2 linked regions of the Coturnix japonica genome follow. The protein of the gene in region 1 interacts with the protein of each later gene in a biochemical or structural test. Links are inferred from orthologs where the notes say so. Each region holds a gene or a part of one and is shown on either strand. Other genes may lie near its edges.

Region 1 (5,264 bases):
CCTATGGCGTCTCTATGGGGGTTTATGGGGCTCTATGGGGTCTCTATGGGGCTCTGTGTGGGTCTATGGGGTCTCTATGGGGCTCTATGGGACAGTGTCTGCACCACCGCCACCAATGGGGCGCCCATCCCCGGCCCTATAAGTGGGGGGGAGACTTAATGTGGTTTATGGGGGATCCATAGGGCTCTATGGGGCTCTAAGGGGTCTCAATGGGGTCTCTATGGGGGACTATGGGGTTTTATGGGGGACTAGGGGGCTCTATGGGGCTTTATGGGGACCTATTAGGGTCTATGGGTTCCCTATGGGGCTCTATGGGGTCTTTATGCGGTCTATGGGGCTCTATGGGGGCTATGAGGTCTATGGAGTCTCTATGGGGCTCTATGGGGTTTATGGGGGTCTATGGGGTCCCTATGGGGACCTATGGGGTCTCTATGGGGGTCTATGGGGTCTCTATGGGGCTCTATGGGGTGTCTATGGGTCTCTATGGGGCTTTATGGGGATTTATTGGGTCTATGGGATCTCTATGGGGGCCTATGGGGTCTGTATGGGGCTTTATGGGGACATATAGGAGGCTATGCAGTCCCTATGGGGCTCTATGGGGGGCTATGGGGCACTATGAACGTCTAAAGGGTTCCTATGGGTCTCTATTGGTCTCTATGGGGGCTCTATGAGGCTCTATGGGGACCTATGGGGTCGATGGGGTCCCTATGGGGCTCTATGGGGGTTTATGGGGCTCTATGGGGTCTCTATGGGGCTCTATGGGGCTCTATGGGTCTCTATGGGGTCTCTATGGGGCTCTATGAGGTCTCTATGGGGTCTCTATGTGTCCCTATGGGTCTCTATGGGTCTCTATGGGTCTCTATGGGTCCCTATGGGTCTCTATGGGTCCCTACGTGTCTCTATGGGTCCCTATGGGTCCCAATGTCCCCCTATGGGTCTCTATGGGTCTCTATGGGGTCTCTATGGGTCACTATGGGTCCCTATGGGTCTCTATGTGTCCCTATGTGTCCCTATGTGTCTCTATGGGTCCCTATGGGTCCCTATGGGTCTCTATGTGTCCCTATGTGTCCCAATGTATCTCAATGGGGTCCCTATGTGTCTCTATGGGTCCCTATGGGTCCCTATGTGTCTCTATGGGTCCCTATGGATCCCTATGGGTCTCTATGGGTCCCTATGTGTCCCTATGTGTCCCTATGTGTCCCCACCTTTAGTGAACGCGACCCCATCGATGTCCTTCGGTCCCATCCCAGCGTCCCTCAGCGCCTCCTCGATCAGCCCCAAGATGGCGGCGCGGTGATGGCGGCTCACAGGGCCGGGAGCGAAACCTGAACCCGGAAGGAAACGGTCACGTGACAGGAAGTGACCCCCGAAGAAACAGGAAGTGGGGGGGGGCCGCCATTAACAGGAAGTGGATATCCATTAACAGGAAGTGGAAGTGGGGGGGGACAGGAAGTGGAGGAAGGGGGACAGGAAGTGGAAGTGGGGGACAGGAAGTGGAAGTGTGGGGGTCCCCATAAACAGGAAGTGGGGTCTCCATAACAGGAAATGGAAACAGGGGAAACCGAAACCGGAAGTGTGTGGTGGGGGGGTTGTATTCATCAACCGGAAGTGGGGGGTGGGGGTCTCCGAAAAACCGGAAGTGGAAAAAGGAAAAGGGGGGGGGGAGGGGAGGGAGTGTCCTCCATTAACCGGAAGTGGAAGGAAGGGGGTGGTCACCCATCAACCGGAAGCGGAAGTAGAAGGGAGGTTCTCCAACAACGGGAAGCGGAAGTAGAAAGGAGGGAGGGGTCCTCCACCAACAGGAAGTGGAAGTAGAAAGGGAGAGGGGGTTCTCCAGCAACCGGAAGCGGAAGTTGAGCTCGAAATCAACCGGAAGCGGAAGTACGAAAGGAGATGGGAGACGCTTCAATCAACCGGAAGCGGAAGTGAAAAGGGAAGTTCCGGTGTGTCCTTACCGTGTCCCGGCGGTGTCACGTAGGTCGCCCTGCGGTTACTCAGCACTTCCCCGTCCCGAACGATCCCGGCTCCCACTTTATTGGCCGAACCCTCCAGGCCCAACACGGTCGGCATGGCGGACGGCTTCTTTAAGGCCCTATTTCCGGTTCCGGTGGGAGGGACTTCCGCTTTTAGCCCCTCCCATCCACATCCGGGTAGTAAAGCAATGAGCTGAACCCGTCTAGTCGACTTTACGGGTTCACTTCCGGTTCCGGTGGGAGAAACTTCCGCTTTTAGCCCCTCCTACCAACATCCGGGTTCTAAAGGAACGAGCTGAGGCCTCCTAGTCGGCTCTAAGACCCCATTTCCGGTTCCGGTGGTAGGGACTTCCGCTTTTAGCCCCTCCTACCAACATCCGGGTTCTAAAGCAATGAGCTGCAGGAGTCTAGGAGGATTTAAGGGCTCGTTTCCGGTTCCGGTGGGTGGGACTTCCGCTTTTAGCCCCTCCCACTCACATCCGGGTTCTGAAGCAATGAGCTCAGGCCTCCTAGTCGACTTTACGGGCTTACTTCCGGTTCCGGTGGGAAGGACTTCCGCTTTTAGTCCCCGCTACCCACATCCGGGTTAGAAACCAACGAGCTACGGGCATCTGGGAAGATTTACAGGCTCACTTCCGGTTCCGGTGGGAGGGACTTCCGCTTTTAGCACCTCCCACTCACGTCCGGGTTCTAAAGCAATGAGCGGAGGCCTCCAAGTCGACTGTGTGGTCTCATTTCCGGTTCCGGTGGGAGGGACTTCCGCCTTTAGCCCCTCCTACCAACATCCGGGTTCTAAAGCAATGAGCTGACCCCGTCTAGTCGACTGTACGGGCTCACTTCCGGTTCCGGTGGGTGGGACTTCCGCTTTCAGCCCCTCCCACCCACATCCGGGTTGGAACCAATGAGTTGCGTTTGTTCCTAGGGGAGACTTCCGGTAGCTTCACGAGCCACTTCCGGTTTACCGCAGCGCCAATGACGTTGCGTCACTTCCGCTTTGCCGCAGCCCCACTTCCGGTTGTGCTCGCACTCACTTCCGCTTTGCCGCAGCCCCACTTCCGGTCCGCCAATGCGATGGCTTCTGGCTCTCATCGCGGCCACTTCCGGTACCCGTCATTAACACGTGACACTGTGCGACTTCCGGTGTTCTTAAGACCTTGATTTCCGGTTCCGGTTTTCGGAGCGAACAACACAAGGGCACAGACCGGTCCGAGCTCTGCTCCGCTTCCGGTGTTTCCATGCTCTTCTACTTCCGGTATCGACGTTACTTTCCGGCTGTGAGTCCAACTTCCGGTTTCTTCCTGCTCCCTTCACTTCCGGTAACCAGCTTCCGGGTTTCGGGAATCACTTCCGCTCAGCTTGAACGTCACTTCCGGTATCCAAGTGTCTTCATGCCCTACTTCCGGTTCTTTTCCGCCTTTTGCGGACAACTTCCGGTCAGCCTATACCTCACTTCCGGTATCGCGGTGTCTCTATGCTCTACTTCCGGTCTTTTACCTTGTGACGTCACTTCCGGTCTGCTTGTCCTTTCCCTCACCGCTATTTTGTACTTTATCCTCTTTCTATCCCAACTTCCGGTTGGCGCCGACGTCACTTCCGCTTCCGCCATATCCCCGCCGCCATGTTGTAGTTTTCCTCCCGAACTCCAGACCCCGCTTCTCGCAGTGACGTCACTTCCGCTTCCGCCCCATCCCCGCCGCCATGTTGTAGTTTTCCTCCCGTACTCCATGTCCTTCCTCTCCCAGTGACGTCACTTCCGCTTCCGCCCCATCTCCGCCGCCATGTTGTAGTTTTTCTCTCCTCCCGCCTCTTCGCCGTGACGTCACTTCCGCTTCTCGTCCTTGCGACGTCACTTCCGTTCCTCGAAGGCACTTCCGGCTTTCGGAGACACGAGGTGGAGCGGGATGCCGAAACGGGGCAGGAACCAGCAAGATGGCGGACAAGGTAACGGGGGGGTATGGGGGATATGGGGGGTCTATGGGGCTTTATGGGGGATATGGGGGCATTGGAGTTTCTATGGGGAGCTATGGGGACATATGGGGTTTCTATGGGGACATATGGGGTGTCTGTGGGGCTCTATGGTGGGATATGGGGGGATATGGGGTTCTATGGGGTCTATGGGGGGATATGGGGACATATGGGGTTCCTATGGCGATCTATGGAGGGATATGGGGTGTCTATGGGGCTCTATGGGGTGTCTATGGGGCTTTATGGGGGATATGGGGGCATATGGGGTTTCTATGGGACTCTATGGGGACATATGGGGTGTCTATGGGGCTCTATCGGGGATGTAGGGGGATATGGGGTTCTATGGGGTTTCTATGGGACTCTATGGGGGCATATGGGGTGTCTATGGGGCTCTATGGGGCTTTATGGGGGATATGGGGTCATATGGGGTTTCTATGGGACTCTATGGGGACATATGGGGTGTCTATGGGGCTCTATGGGGGGATGTAGGGGGATATGGGGCTCTATGGGGTTTCTATGGGACTCTGTGGGGACATATGGGGTGTCTATGGGGCTTTATGGGGGGATGTAGGGGGATATGGGGCTCTATGGGGTTTCTATGGGACTCTATGGGGACATATGGGGTTTCTATGGGACTCTATGGGGGGATATGGGGCTCTATGGGCTCTATGGGGTGTCTATGGGGCTCTATGGCGATCTATGGGGGGATATGGCGTGTCTATGGGGCACTATGGGGGGATATGGGTTGTGTATGGGGATCTGTGGGGCTCTATGGGGTTTCTATGGGGCTCTATGGGGGGATGTGGGGCTCTATGGGGGATATGGGGTTTCAATTAGGTGTCTATAGGGCTCTGGGGGGATATGGGTTTTCTATGGGGCTCTATAGGGATCAATGGGGTGTCTATAGGATGTCTATTGGGGGATATGGGGTTTCTATGGGGACATATGGGGTGTCTATGGGGCCCTATGGGGCTCTATGTGATGTCTGTGGGGTTCTATGGGGGGATATGGGGCGCTATGGGGTGTCTATGGGGCTCTATGGGGTGTCTATGGGGGAATATGGGGCTCTATGTGGTGTCTATGGGGTGATATGGGGGATATGGGGCTCTATGGGGTGTCTATGGGGGGATATTGGGTGTCTATGGGGCTCTATGGGCTCTATGGGGTGTCTATGGGGCTCTGTGGGGGGATATGGGGAGCTATGGGGGGATATGGGGCTCTATGGGGTTTCTGTGGGGTGTCTATGGAGCTCTGTGTGGGGATATGGGGCTCTATGGGGTTTCTATGGGGGTATATGGGACATACGGGGTTTCTATGGGGCTCTAT
Region 2 (5,542 bases), on another chromosome or scaffold:
TGCTGGCGTCCTGCAGCTTGCTGTTCTCTCTCTTGCTGCAACACACAAGAGGACGCAGTTACTGTGGTTAATTTGCCTAAAGCACCCAGCACAGAGCTGCTACAAACACACTGCTTTGAGCCAACTCTCCGCTTCCCTCATTTCTTGTCCTTGAGCTCCAGCTTAACAGCCTGCTGCAAAGACAGTCCAGGGAATAGAACTTTAATGAGAAGTTGTTTCTATGCCGATTTAAATGTTGGTGTCTGGAAAAAGAAACCAAACTGAATCCCATGTCTTTTTGTCCCAGAGCATTAAATAGCAGCGTGCCACTCACCACTTCTTGTAAGCGTATTCCAAGTAGGATGCAACAAAGCGGGTCTCAAACTCTGAAGCGTATTTAGTGTCATATATTCCTGCTGGGAACATTTCTGAGAGATCAGAGGTGAAGGTGCCAAGGCTGTCTGGGAGGTGAGCATAGAAGCACTGGTACAAGAAGACAAGGTCAATCAGGCCGTTATGGAGGACGAGAGGTTTCTTTGCTCGAATGAGTTCCAGGAAAAAAGTCCGGACACTCTGGATCTGGCTCTCATTGCCCTAAAAGAAGAAGAATTAGTCAACAAGTCTTAACACACTGAAGACATCTGGTGCAATGGCAACTCAGAGCATGTTACAGCAGAACTCCATGTAGAGCCACGCTGTGTTCTGACAATGGAGATACCCACGTAGCTGGAGAAGCAGCTACAACAAGGGATGAACAACAGGGAGGAGAAAGGGCTGTGCTGCACTCAGCTGGGAGCGCAGCTCACAGCAGAGCAAGCTGAGCTGAGCGAGGGCATCAGCCCATGATTCTGTACCTTATCGTTGCCCTTGTGGTAGGGGATGCCCTGTGAGTACTGCTTATTGAAGTCAAAGCCGTGCTGCACCAGGAACTGCACCGACTGCGGCTCGACGACGTAATCCTCCGTGCAGAGCAGCGTCAGGTTGTAGATCTGGCAGAGGAACGTGTTCTCAGACTGCGGGATGAGATCAGAACCGGGACTCAGAGCGGGGGGTGACGGACCGGGCCCAGCCCCGCCTCCCACCCGCGTGCCCGGGAGCTGCCGTTACCTTCTCCGGGAGCTGTTTGAAGCACGCGACGCCGAGGGACAGCACCGAGCGCGTCCGTGCGGCGCTGCAGACGGCTTTGTAGCGCTCATCGATGCACCTGCCGGAGATACAGCCGGAGATACGGCCGCTGAGGAGCCGCGGGACCGCAACAACAGCCGGAGGGCGGGGACCCGACCCCACGGTCACTCACGGGCTCAGCAGCGCCTTCCTGTTCCCCAGACCGCTCAGCTCCTGCGGGAAAACGGCGCTCAGCGGCACTGCACAGCACGGCACGGCACGGCACAGCATGGCACTGCACAGCACGGCACGGCACGGCCCGGCACGGCACAGCATGGCACTGCACAGCACTGCACGGCATGGCACAGCACTGCACGGCACGGCCCGGCCGCGTACCGCCCCCCCCGCCCATCTCACCGTGTCCACCGCGATGAAGGTGGCGCTGCGCAGTGCCAGCACCATGCAGGGCCACAGCTCGGTGAAGTTGTCGCTCTGTACATCCACTACCGGCACTCTGCCCCGCGCCATCACCGCCCGTTCCCCGCCACGCACCGGGCCCTTCCCGCCCGGGGCCGCCCCGCACCCGCCCGTTCCCACCTCGCGCCCCGCCCGGCCCCGAGCCCCGCCCCGCTGCCCCGCGGAGCCCCTGCCCGCTCCGTTCCGTTCTCGCCGTTCGAATCCCGATTTCCGGTGATATTTCCAATCCGAACCGAACCGGCGTTTATCGGGGCGGCCCCGCGGGTCCTTCTGGGGCTGCCGCTGTGACCGGCGGGAAAAGAGGCGGGGGAGCCGCTCAACTGAAGGGAGGGGCGAACCCGCTCCCGTCATGCCGCTCTGTGATTGGCTCAGGCCTGGAAGGCGGGTCCGCGCCGCCCGCTCTGATTCGTCCCCGAGAAGGGGCGTGGCGCCGGAGGGGAAACATTTCCCGGGAAAAGCGCACGTGTGTCCCGCGGTTGGTTCCCGCCATGAGCCGCCTGCGGGCGGCGGCCGCGCGGGGGATGCGGGAGCGGCGGGGAAACGGCAGCGCGACCCCGAATGGGGAGAACGGCAGGAACGGCAGCAAGAAGGGCAACAGGAACCGTGTGTCGGTCCGTGAAGGTGCGTGTGGGCGCGGAGCGTGCAGGGCTGGGCCTCGGTCGCCCTGAGAGCGCTGCTCTGAGCCCACCCCGCGCCCTTCTCCCGGCAGGGGCTCCCGCTCCACCGCACTCACTGCATCTCTTCCATGACCCCGTCGAGATCGATGCTCTCCGTGACCGCCTGCTCGCCTGGTACGATAAAAACCGGCGGGACCTTCCCTGGAGGACGCTGGTAATGGCAGGCGGGAGTAGCACAGCTTGACTCATCTTATGTTGTATGAGGGTCTCCTTGCAGTGAACGCTGTGCTCCTTTGTCTCTCATACTCCGTTCCCTTTCAGGCTGCAGCTGAACAGGATGCTGACAGACGGGCGTATGCAGGTGAGGAATGGGGGTGGCTGTATCCCATGTATTGCTGCCTGACACGGGATGCAGCGTAGCCTTGTGAAGGCTGTGGCTTCAATGCTGTTCCTGTAAACAGCTGCTTGGACCCCTGGTGGCATCTGAGAGGCAACTTTGGGCCTGAGAGGGGGATCCTGTGGGGATGGGGATGGGGGTGGCTGCTGGGCTGGGTGCTGCTGCAGTTCTTGGAATCAGCACCACGGTGACTGGGGTGCACGCTGTGGGAAGCAGCACTGGCACCTCTGCACCGATCCCTCTGTGCTCCCGGCAGTGTGGGTGTCTGAGGTCATGCTGCAGCAGACACAAGTGGCCACAGTGATCGACTACTACAACCGCTGGATGCAGGTGACTGTTCCTCATGCAGTGCCCCCGACCCTCCTGCTTTGGAGGCTTTACTCTCTGCCCGTGGCAGGCTTCCATCTGCAGCTCTTGGCTGTCCTCATCCTGAACTTGTCGCCTCCCTCTTGTAGAAGTGGCCAACACTGCAGGCGCTGGCAGCAGCATCGCTGGAGGTGAGCAGTGTGGTGACGAGTTCAGCCCTCACTGCTCTGCCTGTGTCTCCCTAACGCTGTGTCTCATGGGGCAGGAGGTGAATGAGCTGTGGGCAGGACTCGGCTACTACTCACGAGGAAAGCGCCTGCAGGAGGCAGCGAGGAAGGTGCTGGAGGCATTTCCTAAGCTCTCTGTGCCTCATGGGTGGCTGCTGGTTCGCACTTGCTCTGCCTCGCTGGAGCTGAGCTGGTTGCACAGGGCCATGGAGGCTGGGCATCCTCCTTATCACATGTAAATCTGCGTCTGCTCAGCTGACATTGGCTGCCCTGTCTGCAGGTGGTGTCGGAGCTGGCCGGCCGGATGCCCAGGACAGCTGAGGACCTGCAGAAGCTGCTGCCAGGAGTGGGTCGATACACAGCAGGAGCCATTGCTTCCATCTCATTCGGGCAGGTGAGAGCTGTCTGGAGGGAATGTGACTCCTGTCACTGCCACCTTCCTGCCCCTTGCCAGCACCTCCCAGTTTGCTGATCCCTGCTCTCACTTCAGGCTACTGGTGTTGTGGATGGGAACGTGATCCGTGTGCTGTGCCGCCTGCGGTGCATCGGTGCTGACAGCAGCAGCCCGGCTGTTACCGACTGCCTCTGGTGAGGGGAGCTGTGCTGGTGGCGGCTGTGATTGTGTGTTGGTAGCTGAGGGCAGGATCGTTTAGAAGCCACGGGGAGCTGAGCTGAAGGGGGGAGGCTGGAGCAGGAGCGTTAGAGGCTCGTGGGGGTCATGGGCTCAGGAGGCAAGTGGAGGTCATTGGGTCTCTGCATGTGGAGCTTCGTGTCACTCACAGCCATCTCTCCCAGGGACATGGCCAACACCCTGGTGGATAGGAGCCGCCCGGGGGACTTCAACCAAGCTCTGATGGAGCTGGGGGCAACTGTGTGCACACCCAAATCCCCGCTGTGTAAGGAGTGCCCAGTGAAGGAGCACTGCCATGCCTGGCATAGGGTAAGAATGGCCCCCAGACCCATCCCTTGACAGTCTGTGGGTGGCAGAGGCCTCTCGCTGTCCCTGTAGGGGGTGATAGAAAGTTCCTCAACCTCCTCTGAAGCATCAAGCAAGACTTGGCTGAGTACTGAGTCCTGCATTCCTACCTGGTGCCAGCCCTGGGGGTCACTGCATGTGGAGATGGGGTTGGACATGCTGTTGCCCCACACAGGTGGAGAAGGAGCTGGTCTCTGCCTCTCAGAAGCTGTTTGGAAAGACCACTGTGGTGCCTGATGTTGAGGACTGTGGTGAGCACCCGGGTTGGTCCCTGTGGCAGCTTTGCATCTGGGCCCCGCTGTGACCATTGTGTTGGTGTCTGCAGGGACTGGGGGCTGTCCCTTGTGCCTCCCCACTGCCGAGCCATGGGACAGCAGCCTGGGGGTCACCAACTTCCCCCGCAAAGCAGCGAAGAAGCAGCCACGGGCAGAGCAGACAGCCACGTGTGTGCTGGAGCGGAGGGGCCACCTTGGGGCCTCTGAGTACCTCATAGTACAGAGACCCAGCTCAGGTACAGGGCCAGGTGGGAGCAGGGCACAGGCACCAAAGGGTACTGAGATGGGGTAGTGGGATGGCACTTGCTCCTGGGGTGCAGAAAGGAGCCTGCTGGGCTGTGCACACCCTCACAGGGCTCCTGGCTGGGCTCTGGGAGTTCCCCAGCCTCCCGCTGGCTCCGGGCCTGAAGGAGAAGCAGCAGAAGGAACTCCTGGCTGACCACCTGCAGGCGTGGATAAAACAGCCTGTACAGACACAGAGCTTGTGCTTCATTGGGGAGGTGAGTGTGTGGCCAAGCACCGCGCACCATGGGGGACGCAACACAGAGGGAGGGTCCCCATTCCCTGATGTCACCCTTCTCAAGCCCTGCCTGCATGCTGCCAATCTTGCTGTACTCTCGTCTCCTCGCAGGTTGTCCACATCTTCTCACACATTCACCAGACGTATGTGGTCTACTCACTGTGCCTGGATGGGGATGTAGCCCTGGATGCTGCCTCGTCCCCATCCCGCTGGGTGACACAGGAAGAATTCTGTGCCTCAGCTGTGTCCACCGCCATGAAGAAGGTACCGGGGGGACCTGGGATGTTCCCTTCTCTTCATGAGGTGCTGGCAGTGTGCCTGCCATTCCTCCAGATGCTGTGGGCCAATCCCAACTTGGGGACAAGAGTGCTATCTATTTCTGGGTGCTCTCATGCTTCCTTTAGGTGCTGAAGGCGTGGGAGACTCAGCGTGGGGTGCAGAGCGGCCGTGCCAAGGTGGGCAGCACAGCAGTGTGCACAGAGCTGTCCTGTGCTGTGCTGGAGCCCCCCAGGACTTGGGGTTGCGCTGGGAGCTCCCCAGTCTGGAGCAGGGAGATGTGCCTGGCCAGCTCTGTCCATCGTTAACCCAATTTTAGGACACCCCCCCTCCTCATTGATGCCCCAGAGGAGGTGTCCCTGGGCACCTTGGGGTTCAGCTCAGCTCC

The links.
Region 2: the proteins of APEX1 (region 1) and MUTYH form a complex in vitro, tested with the Homo sapiens proteins (3 studies listed by BioGRID and IntAct, with this or other methods). The link is inferred for Coturnix japonica from reciprocal best matches to the Homo sapiens genes APEX1 and MUTYH.

What each region holds. Positions count from the first base shown.
Region 1 is NW_015439873.1:108,796-114,059, reverse strand, and holds the start of APEX1 (DNA-(apurinic or apyrimidinic site) lyase), read left to right. Parts: upstream 1-2,068; coding exon 2,069-2,107; exon of another isoform or gene 2,108-2,771; intron 2,772-3,124; coding exon 3,125-3,247; intron 3,248-3,838; coding exon 3,839-3,914; intron 3,915-5,264.
Region 2 is NC_029523.1:18,649,020-18,654,561, reverse strand, and holds the start of MUTYH (adenine DNA glycosylase), read left to right. Parts: upstream 1-1,704; 5' UTR 1,705-2,048; coding exon 2,049-2,181; intron 2,182-2,269; coding exon 2,270-2,391; intron 2,392-2,498; coding exon 2,499-2,538; intron 2,539-2,790; coding exon of another isoform or gene 2,791-2,830; coding exon 2,831-2,904; intron 2,905-3,029; coding exon 3,030-3,071; intron 3,072-3,145; coding exon 3,146-3,217; intron 3,218-3,387; coding exon 3,388-3,501; intron 3,502-3,597; coding exon 3,598-3,695; intron 3,696-3,902; coding exon 3,903-4,047; intron 4,048-4,258; coding exon 4,259-4,334; intron 4,335-4,408; coding exon 4,409-4,606; intron 4,607-4,712; coding exon 4,713-4,858; intron 4,859-4,989; coding exon 4,990-5,142; intron 5,143-5,282; coding exon 5,283-5,333; intron 5,334-5,542. Other genes in the region: TOE1 (target of EGR1 protein 1), read right to left, coding at 1-35, 314-573, 834-992, 1,087-1,183, 1,277-1,317, 1,501-1,611. UniProt on the Homo sapiens protein: Involved in oxidative DNA damage repair. Initiates repair of A*oxoG to C*G by removing the inappropriately paired adenine base from the DNA backbone. Possesses both adenine and 2-OH-A DNA glycosylase activities.